Linked DNA regions of Arabidopsis thaliana. The protein of the gene in region 2 interacts with the protein of the main gene of each other region in a pairwise test. Each region holds a gene or a part of one and is shown on either strand. Other genes may lie near its edges.

Evidence for each region.
Region 1: the proteins of AT1G28710 (region 2) and AT1G14670 interact in a protein complementation assay, tested with the Arabidopsis thaliana proteins (one large-scale study listed by BioGRID).

Annotation. Positions count from the first base shown.
Region 1 is NC_003070.9:5,035,612-5,041,234, forward strand, and holds AT1G14670 (Endomembrane protein 70 protein family), read left to right. Parts: upstream 1-1,964; 5' UTR 1,965-2,057; coding exon 2,058-2,209; intron 2,210-2,488; coding exon 2,489-2,529; intron 2,530-2,637; coding exon 2,638-3,223; intron 3,224-3,299; coding exon 3,300-3,437; intron 3,438-3,547; coding exon 3,548-3,704; intron 3,705-3,799; coding exon 3,800-4,284; intron 4,285-4,368; coding exon 4,369-4,588; 3' UTR 4,589-4,986; downstream 4,987-5,623. Other genes in the region: NHX8 (Na+/H+ exchanger 8), read right to left, coding at 1-63, 149-226, 302-393, 462-512, 609-828; AT1G14680 (early endosome antigen), read left to right, coding at 5,250-5,623.
Region 2 is NC_003070.9:10,085,570-10,091,399, reverse strand, and holds AT1G28710 (Nucleotide-diphospho-sugar transferase family protein), read left to right. Parts: upstream 1-1,627; 5' UTR 1,628-1,722; intron 1,723-1,864; 5' UTR 1,865-2,112; intron 2,113-2,421; exon of another isoform or gene 2,422-2,623; 5' UTR 2,624-2,683; intron 2,684-2,933; exon of another isoform or gene 2,934-3,332; 5' UTR 3,333-3,374; coding exon 3,375-3,506; intron 3,507-3,579; coding exon 3,580-3,969; intron 3,970-4,049; coding exon 4,050-4,550; 3' UTR 4,551-5,034; downstream 5,035-5,830.

The DNA.
Region 1 (5,623 bases), 5.1 Mb from region 2:
AGCTCCTAAAAGTCCTCCAAGCAACAATGATGTTTTCCAGTCCCAGTTATATGGAAAAGTAAGCTACAAGAGCATAACTCGAAAAAATTGTTAAGTTAATTGAAGCTCACTTAATCACAGTCGAAAATGTTGAAGCTAGTTAAAGTACCTTTATAAGAGCTCCGAGACAAAAGGTGGAAATCAGAACTCCAGGTCCAGCAAGCAGAACCATTTGTCCCATACATCTCTACCAATGATGTAAAACAATCAATACCAGGAACCAACACAGCCAAGGAAGTAGCTCAATCAGGAAAGTAAAAACCTTGATCTGGTGCACATCCATGGAGAATGAGCTCTCGAAAAGAAGAACAGGGAGAAAAACAGCCAAAAGTAGGTCAGGGTTGATACCATTCCCTGTAAAGTTGCCATTTTTTAGAGCTCGTAATCTAACAGTATGGAGAAGAGAAAATACAGTAGCTTACAGATACGAATTCCATGGCCGAGCTTCCCAAGGTTATGCTTAGTTCCATATTCTACAGAAGCAAAAAAATCCAAAATTTAACTACTTTCTAAAATCTTCCACGAAATTGAAACTGAGCTATAAAGCTTAATGAGCAAACAAATAAGACCTAGGGATCCGAGAAAAATGCCGATGACGAGAAGAACGACGGTGTACGGAACTCTAGTGCCGTTAAACAAATATCTACAAGCGGTGCCGAGAACCAGCGAAGTTCCCGCGAAAATAACAGCATCAACAGGACTCGAATCGTTCTCAGCTGAATACGAAGAAGATGCAATTGCTTTCTCCGGTGATTTGTACGGCAACGCCGCGCCGATTATACTCGTCATCTCCGGTAGAAAGAAGCAAACGATCAATCTTTCGTTTTGCCAGTGATTACGGTCAAAGATGCTTTTACCGAACCGAATCTGCTTCGTTTAAGAGTGAACCAAGATTGAATCTAGTCTGGTTTGGCTTGACCTGTTTTATTTCGGTTACGTCTGGTTTTCTATCACTAATTTGAACGAAAATTTGAGAAATCTTAATACGTTTTTGATTAGGTTTCTGTTTTCTTTGCTAGATATGAATGTAGTTACTGGATTATACTACTCTGTTCAAATGAAGGGTACATATATTTACATGAACCAAATTATGAAATAACAAAACCGACTCACTCTAGTCTCTAAACTTAACTAGTGTCACTTTTGTTTGTTTGTTTTGATCCATACTTCAATGTATCTTGTTCAAATTGTTTGATTTTATTTTTGGTATAAGTGGCTACATTGTAATTTCTTGCTGATTCAATCTATAAATCGAAAACCTTAAATTATCCATGCCTCAAAACGATGCACGTTGTGTATAAATGAGAATTTTAAATTGTTTAGTTTCTATAATTGCTGTCATGACGTGAGATCATGCAAAGCAATTACGTACGATAACGCACGTAAAGGAAAAATGATTATCAGATTCATATATTTTTTTTTTCAAAAACTTGGTCTCGTGTAACATCATTCGTCATTCTTCATATTCACTATACTATAACCACAAAAGATATTAAAAAAATAGTCACTCCACTCCACATCTAATACAAAGAAGTAATAATTTAACTATTCAAAATTTATGAAGTGTTAATACGATAAGATTTTCGACCCAAGGAAAAAAAACACTATAAGATACATAGGTTTGGCAGAACAATTAGTTCGCTCACTGCCTACATATTCTTTTTTTGGTTTAATTAGCCTACATATGGGAAAATGATTTGTATTTTGTTAAATGCCACTCACATTTGTTATAAATAATTAGTCTTGGTTTCAAAAGCCATATATTTATGAATTTATAGACATTGATATTTATTTTTATGGTTGGAAATGGTATAAAGTATTATTGACTATAGTTTTTTTATGTATTTTTCTTATGAAATAAAGTGAGAAAATAATAAAAATATTAAAATTTGTGTAGCTGACTCGAGTTTGATTGAAGTCTTTGGTATATAAATATTGTCGTTATTTCCTCCATTTTTCTCCCTCTTCTCCCAAATAAAAAAAGTTACTCAGATCTCACGATTTGAGCAGAATACGCAATGAGGACACCGACGACGATTCTCCTTCTTGTCGGAGCTATCCTCTTCTCCGGCGCCGGCTATGTCAGATCCGACGCCTCCGACCACCGTTACAAGGAAGGAGACACCGTTCCTCTCTACGCCAACAAGGTCGGCCCATTTCACAATCCAAGGTAAACGGAAACATCTATTCTAGATCTGAGCTTCAGATCTGAGGTTGTTTCCCATTCTTAAGCCTGAGGATGATAAATTGATCGTTTATTGTTGAATCTGTTGCTATTGAATTGAGTAACGACATTGATAACTGAGTACACTGCAAAATGCGTAATGTTAAAACCAAAGAGTGAAAGAAGAAACTACATTTGGAATGTTTTTCGTTTATGTGATGGATCTGTCTTAGATTTGAATACTATTATATGACTGATTTTGGTTTTGTTCAATGATGATTGCAGTGAGACGTATCGATATTTTGATCTTCCCTTCTGTATCCCAGGTATGCTTATATCTTTACTAGCTTAATCACACGATTTGTGTTTAAGCCGCAACTGATTTGTGTGACATCTCCTGATTCGATCATCCCATTATTGAATATGGTTTATAGAGGGTGTGAAAGAGAAGAAGGAAGCTCTTGGCGAGGTTCTAAACGGGGATCGGCTAGTTAGCGCTCCATACAAGCTCAACTTCAGAGATGAAAAAGAGTCTGAGGTATACTGCAACAAGAAGTTGAGTAAAGAAGAGGTCAAACAGTTCAGAAAAGCTGTTGAGAAGGACTACTACTTCCAGATGTACTATGATGATCTACCTATCTGGGGATTCATTGGAAAGGTTGACAAGGATATCAAATCTGATCCGAGTGAATTCAAATATTTCTTGTACAAGCACATTCAGTTTGAGATTCTATACAATAAGGACCGTGTGATCGAGATCAGTGCTAGAATGGATCCTCATTCGCTTGTGGATCTCACTGAGGATAAGGAAGTTGATGCAGAGTTTATGTACACTGTGAAGTGGAAGGAAACTGAGACTCCTTTTGAGAAAAGAATGGAGAAGTACTCTATGTCTTCTTCTCTTCCACATCATTTGGAAATCCACTGGTTCTCCATTATTAACTCCTGTGTCACTGTCCTTCTTTTGACTGGATTCCTTGCAACTATCTTGATGCGAGTCCTCAAGAACGATTTCATGAAGTAAGTTTCAAGTTTCCTCACTGTCGACTGTTTTACACTTGTCTATCTCATCTAACCTTATTCCAATGCTTAAAAGGTATGCTCAAGATGAGGAAGCTGCTGATGATCAAGAGGAAACTGGATGGAAGTACATTCATGGCGATGTGTTTCGGTTCCCTACTCACAATTCTTTATTTGCTGCATCGCTCGGTAGTGGCACTCAATTGTTCACGCTGTAAGTCTCTCATAACTCGAATACTTTCCATCTGGATACACTTTCATCCATATCCGCATTTCTTCTTACTGTAACTAACTGTAGCTTTTCCTTTTATTCCATGTCATCAGCACCATATTTATTTTCATGCTTGCTCTTGTTGGAGTGTTCTACCCATACAACCGAGGAGCACTCTTTACCGCTTTGGTGGTCATTTACGCTCTCACTTCTGGAATTGCCGGATACACATCTGCCTCTTTCTACTGTCAACTTGAAGGAAAAAGCTGGGTAAATATTTACACATGATGAGAATCATCCCTGTCTCTCAAAAAATCATCTTCAACTGAAATAAACAACTTCTCCCTTTTTTGACATTATTGCAGGTGAGGAACTTGTTACTCACTGGATGTCTCTTCTGTGGCCCATTATTCCTAACCTTTTGCTTCCTTAACACCGTAGCCATCACCTACACTGCAACCGCTGCATTACCCTTTGGAACCATTGTGGTGATCGTCCTTATATGGACTCTAGTTACCTCACCTTTACTCGTTTTGGGTGGTATCGCGGGTAAAAACAGCAAAGCAGAGTTCCAAGCACCATGCCGTACAACCAAATATCCTCGTGAGATTCCACCACTCCCTTGGTACAGAAGTGCTATTCCTCAGATGGCCATGGCTGGTTTTCTTCCTTTCAGTGCCATCTACATCGAGCTTTACTACATTTTCGCTAGTGTCTGGGGTCACCGGATCTACACCATCTACAGCATCTTATTCATCGTTTTCATCATTCTCATCATCGTCACTGCTTTTATAACCGTTGCCTTGACTTACTTCCAACTCGCTGCTGAAGATCACCAATGGTGGTGGAGGTTCGTTAAACTCAGCTAATCGTCTCTATTCTTTTCTCTCTGACCATGAGAACTTGAGTCTGATTCTACAAATTTCTATTGCAGATCATTCCTATGTGGTGGATCGACCGGTTTGTTTATCTACGCATACTGCTTATACTATTACTACGCACGATCAGACATGTCGGGTTTTATGCAAACCTCGTTTTTCTTCGGATACATGGCTTGCATTTGCTACGGATTCTTCTTAATGCTCGGAACAGTTGGCTTCCGCGCAGCCCTCCTCTTTGTCCGTCACATTTACCGGTCGATCAAATGCGAGTAAGAAGGTCTGTACACCAATCTTCTTATGTTGATTTCCTTCTTCTTCTTCTGCCTTCTTACGAATTTTGCTTAGAACAAAGAAGATAAAGAGATAGGTTGTTAGAAAGAAGAGAGACACAAAGACAATGTCTGATTATTTTCTAAAGAAGCATCTCTTCTCATTAGAGGTTTTAGCGAGAGTCTCTCTTCTTCTCTCTTTATTTTGGGCTACAGAAATTAAATTACTTGTATCCTTTCTATATATTTTACCTATTGTAAAAGACTATCAATACCTTTGAATTCGAGTTTCTTTGTATCTAATAAATTTCAAAACACACATATTTTCTCCTTCATATATATCTTCAGTCTATACTGCACAATAAAAATAATAATTTGAAGATGTAACTAAATAAATATTGGAGAGCTAAATTGAAGTAAATTGCATATTTTTGTACTTGTTTGGATCCAATTGAAAGATCCAAGGTTGATACCACCGACATACAAGGACATAGTGTTAGCTCTTTAATGGGCCAAAATCTCGGCCCAACTATAAATGGTTTCATTGACCAATAATTAGTGCCACTGATTTCAATTTTGAAATTCGAATCCTCCTCCTTTGGAATTCAGAAACCCTAGAGTTCTTCAGCGAGCGAACTCTGTCTGCGATTTCTTGTTGATTCTAAATGGATCTCTCGCGAGAAGTCGATGACTTTATCAAAGAGACAATCGATCACTCTTTAGGGCTTCCGATATCCATGGACGTTCTCCAGAAAAAGCTCTACACGGCGGAAGAATCTCAGCGTCGTCTCCGTGAACAGTATCTATCTCTGGTTTCGAGATTGAAAGAGAAAGAAAAAGTAATCGATCTCGTTAGATCCGAAGCGAGTATGAATGCCCAGTCGCTGAAGAAATTCGTCGAAGAGAATCAGAAATTGGGAAGCGAGCGCGAGGATTTGGTGAATCAGTGTAAGAAGTGGGAAAAAGAATGCTTTCTTTATCATCAAGATCGTGAATCACTCATGGAGTTCGGGAACGAAACTGACGAAAGGGCTAGAGA
Region 2 (5,830 bases):
TTCTTGCTAAAATAAGAGGGTAATATGGTCCATTGGTCCTCATCTGGTCTAGTGTTAAATCTCTAGGAATTTCCTGATTTTCTGATCACTTTTTAGCTGGAACTCAGACCATCTATTAGAAAAATGTCAATGGTGCATGTTCTGAGAATCAAACACGGGACCACTAGCACCCAAAGCGAGAATCATACCAAATGCCCTGTACGTTGTTCGATTAACGCCTCCTATTAGCATTTTCTCTTTTCTTATAGAAATTTGTTGCTCCGTTTGCTATTCTGGTTGAATCTTAATTGAAATTCTTTTTCTATATCCGCATCTCATTCTTGGTGAATCTGGCTGATAGTCCTTCATGTATGAAGGTTACTGGTTACAAAGATTTAATGATTGTACAGTGAAGAGTGGTATGTTCTTCTTTTCGTCTGCATTAAGCTCCTTATATTTTATCTTGCTGAAATGAAAGGGTATTCTATAGTTCTTACTTTGGTTTAGTACTAAATAAAGATCTGATTTTAAGCCACGTTCTTCTTTAACTGAGATCATCTACTATAGAAAAAAGTCAATGGGGGCATTCCGAGAATCGAACTCGGGACCTCTCGCACCCAAAGCGAGAATCATACCACTAGACCAAATGCCCTGTTGTTGATTTAGTTACATTGAAGCATTGAAGCATTTTATTGTTTGATCTTGTGGATAAGAGAATTCACACTTTACTCTATTTTTAGGGAAATCTACTTTTGGTTGTTCTATTCTTGATGAAGCTAGCAACATGCAATAAGTTCAAAATTTTCTATATTTATATTGGAATCTGACGTTAGAATGCTGAATGTTCTCTTGTTTGAAAAATCTGACGTTTTAGATCTAGTTCTATCAGTTGACTTTCAGGGCTTAATAGTAAAGGTGGACACTGTACTTTAATAGATGAAATGTTAGCTGGTTAAAACATTTGTTTTACAAAAAGTCAAAGGGGCATTCCGAGAATCGAACTCGGGACCTCTCGCACCCAAAGCGAGAATCATACCACTAGACCAAATGCCCTGTTTGTATATCTTGTTATGTTAACGCATTCTACTTGCATTCTGTTTTTTCCGTGACGAGAATTTATGCTTTCCTTTGCTTTTCATTAGATGATTATTAAATATTTCCGTGCTGTTTCTGCGGCTCAATCTTTGGCAGCATACACAGCGTGTTTGTCTTTTCTGTATGAATTGTACTGGTTAAAAAGACATACATTATTGGACGTGAAACTGCATTATGTTCTTTTTCTTTGCATTATGCACTTGATCATAGAACTTTAAGGAGCTTTTTTGTTTTTGCTTTTCACTTGCTAAATTGGAAGAAAAATATATGGTCTGCAGTTGGTTTATATGTGAAAGAATAGGACTGGTTTTCTAGGGAAGCTAGCATTGAGAACAGATGATTTACGAAAAGTCATTGGGGTTTTCCGAGAATTGAGCTCCGGGCCTCTCGCACCCTAAGCAAGAATCATACCACTAGACCAAATGCCCTTCTTTTTTGTATTATGTTTTTTAGTTAGTACTTTCTATTAGCATTCTTGCTTTTCTTTCAGAGATTTGTTGCTTCGTTTGCATTTTCCGTAGATACATAATCAAAATTCTTTTCTGTTGATGCAGATCATTCGTTGTTATCTGGATGCTAACAAAACATGAAGGTCTTCCCTATGTGAAGATTACTGATTAATATCTATTGATTGGATGTGATAGATTGGTATGTTCTTCTTTTCCTTTGCATTATAGGTCATCTAACATTTCGAGAATCGAACTGGGTCATCGACTTAAAAAATTTGATTATGTTAAAATCTGTATTCAAATATATAAGTTAAAGATTGGTATGTTCTGTTTGAATATAGGTCATGTACTTAAAAAAAGAAGTCAAAGGGGCATTCCGAGAATCGAACTCGGGACCTCTTGCACCCAAAGCGAGAATCATACCACTAGACCAAATGCTGTATTTGAATGCCCCCACTGAAGCATTGTGTTGTTGTGTAATCCTGTGGAAAAGAGAATTCATGCTTCACTCCGTTATTACAGGAAATTAAGTCATGGGGGTTTGTTTACCTTTTGAGGGTTCTATTCGTGATGAAGCTGGCAACATGCAGTAAGTTCAAACTCTTTAACTTATATAGAATGCTTTTTTGTTTAGATAAAGAAATTATGTTTAAGATTTAGTTCTATTAGTTGATGGATTTAGTTCTTTCAGGGCTTAATATATTTAGAACTTATGTATTTAAAACTATATATTTAGTTCTTTCAGGGCTTAATATATTCAGAACTTATATATTTGAAACTATATATTTAGTTCTTTCAGGGCTTGATATATTTAGAACTTATATATTTAAAATTATATATTTTGTTCTTTCAGGGTTCTAACTTATATATTTAGAACTTATATATTTAGTTCTTTCAGGGCTTAATGGATTGTCTGTAATTGAAAATTGATGAATTGACCCTAGTCATTCCTATAATTGAACTCGGGACCTCCCGCACCCTAAGCAAGAATCATACCACTAGACCAAAAGCCCTGTTGTTTATGCAATCTGGTTCAAATATTTTTGTGGTCTTCTAGTTTGTTTTTTGAAAAAGAGGCTGAATTACGAAATGTTTACTAGTTGAAGCTAAGCTGCAGAAGGGAGGTGTACGTCATCGCCTCATCGGGCATGTAAGCAAAGGTATGTAAAAGTTCTGGAAAAATGTGATTTGATCATAGAGCTATACCAAATTCTTGGTTATTGACTATTTTTGTTAAGATCATAGAGGATCCCCAATAGAAGTGCCATTGACAATTTATTTCTTGTTGCCTAACTGATATAAATATGAATTTACTTCCGTCTCTCTATAGGTTTGGCTTTACCAGCCGAAATTTATGTCTAGTACTATTAGTTGACTTTCATGGCTTTATGGTGAATGTGATTTGTCTGTAAATTTTAATATTTGTTGAAACATAACACAAAACCACAAAACCTTGAATTGCTGAATGTTTATCTATAAAAGATCTAAGAGGCAAATATATGGGAATATATGGAAAATTTTGTTACCTGTTATTCTGAGATAAATAAGTAAATATTGAAAAAATCTTTTATAAGATTCTCTTTGGGAAAATAGAATATCGCATGATAATAATCGGGAGACATTAAAGTAGAAATACAAATACGTAGACACAAAAACCCTAGAACAAAAGATGATGCTTCGTGTGTAACGTATTAGAGAAGGAACCTTAAAAACGTCAGTGATATTCACATTAAATTGGGATGACTTGAGTTTGGTGTTACATCCAAATCCGGTTATATATAGGTTAAATTGTTGTGTGCGAATCAACAGAGAGAGAGAAAAGGGCACATAAAATAGGTGAGTCTCCTAAACATGCCTTCCTTCAACTCCTCCGGCAATCTCGCGGTGGCCGTTGCTCTTCTCTTTGCGGGCGCCTTATATTTCTATTTCTCATCAATTACGGTTTCTGATCCTATGTCCGATCTACTACACAATGTCGAAACTGTAAGTTACTTTATAATAGAATCGGAATTTGAGAGTAAATATAGGAAGATTTTAAATGTTTTGTGTTAAATAGAGATGGACAGAGTATCCTGTGGACGAGCTAGAGGCGGTCCTAGACAAGGCAGCAATGGGAAACAACAAAACGGTGATTATAGCAATGGTGAACAAAGCTTACGTGGAGGAGGTTGAAGGAGGGAGGACAATGCTGGATCTGTTTTTGGAGAGTTTTTGGGAAGGAGAGGGTACTCGGCCGCTTCTTGACCATCTGATGCTAGTGGCAGCGGATCAGACTTCCTACGATCGTTGCCTCTTCAGGAGGCTCCACTGCTACAAGATGGATACCGATGGGGTTGACTTGGAGGGAGAGAAGGTATATATGTCAAAAGATTTCATTGAGATGATGTGGCGGAGGACTCACTTGCTCCTAGACGTCCTCAGCCGCGGCTACAATCTTACTTTCACGGTTAGGTCCGTCCCTTGGTTTTGGAATGTATAACAAAACACCTAATTTGTTTCTCTATAAGTAGTGTATGTATATGTCAGGACACGGACGTGATGTGGCTAAGGAGCCCTTTTCCCCGACTAAGCTACAACGAGAGCTTGGATATGCAGATAAGCGTGGACAGTATTGGCCTGGTTGGAGGACACTTGATCAACACGGGATTCTACCACGTCAGGTCCAACAACAAGACCATCTCCCTCTTCCAGAAATGGTACGACATGAGGCTCAAGTCGACGGGCATGAAGGAACAAGATGTCCTTAAGAGTCTCCTAGACTCTGGTTTCTTTAACCAGCTTGGCCTCAACGTTGGCTTCCTCAACACTACCGAATTCAGTGGCTTCTGCCAAGACAGCCATGACATGGGCGTTGTCACCACCGTCCATGCCAACTGTTGCCGCCACATCCTTGCTAAGATCTCTGATCTAACTCTTGTTCTTCGTGACTGGAAACGCTACAAAGCCTCCCATGTCAACAGCAATTGGAGCCCCCATGTTGAGTGCGGGCGTTCATGGAGTGACACTCACTATATCCCCAAGCTCTGACCTTCTTCGTTCATATATGCCAATTAATGAGATTGCTATAGTATACACAACTTCATCATCTATTAACTGCATATGTTCTTCAGATTAATCCTAGCTAGCTAGAGGAACAATTCTCTTTTGACAAGTAATTACAAAACATCATATATGTGTGTTACAACCAGATTGTTTTTCGCTCTTCGTTACAGCTACCCAAATAATTGCTGATAATTCTACTACCTAGCTAGCTACTTGATAAAAAGAACACATAGAAGACAGAGTTTCAAATCCAATGCACAAGTTGGTGGATAAAAACCAAATGAATGATCGAGACCTCGTGCACCAAAAGCAAGAAATATCATACCATTAGACCAAATGCTATGTTGCTGATGTAAAACTTAAATACTTGATTTCTCTTCTGTTTTGAGGAAATCAATTGATGTAGCATACAAAACTGTTTTCTGTACAGCCAAAGTGAGTCATCGGATGTGAAAGAAAGGTAATTTGTGGATCCACTTTTTTTGTTTTGAAACTTCAGGCACTTGATTTCTGAAAGTCTGGATGGGGATACAATAAAAAAACAACAATACTCTCATATATTACATGTGAAAATGTTTGATGCAATCCGGTGATGAATAGTTTAGTCAACCTTTGATGAACAGTATCATCAGGCGGTTATGAACATTGTCTTTGAGAATGACATTTTGTGTAATTGAAAAAACGAGAATGATATTTATGGCTTTAATTTTTTTCCTATTTTCTTCTTACATAATTTTCGAATTATCATTGGTATGTAAATCTAATTTTAAGTCTTTTGGGTATATAAATTAACTAAAACAACAATTTCATTTTATTTTGTTACAGGAAAAAGAATTGAAAAGCAGTGATTTTCTCATATATTAGGATTTGATCTGCAGTAGCCGCATGATAATAATTTTGTGCATATACATAAAGTCTTTGACATTTATTTTAAAATTGTGCATATTTTACATATTGAAGTTTGTATTTAAAAATACTTAGTTTTATAATCAAGAAATCAGTAATATCGCTGATAAATATGACTAATTGGATTAAATTTGATATAGTCTATATATTTGAAGTGTGTAATTTGTGAATATGAATTTTAAGTAACATCATAATAACTACTGCTCTATATAACATTGTGGAGGTTAAAATGTAAGAAAGGAAAATACAGATAGTATAATAACTAAACAAAAAGACTAAACATCAGAACAATTGGAGATATTTTATAGTTCTTTTTCAAAGTATTATAATATTTACATAATTATATAGATTATTAGAAT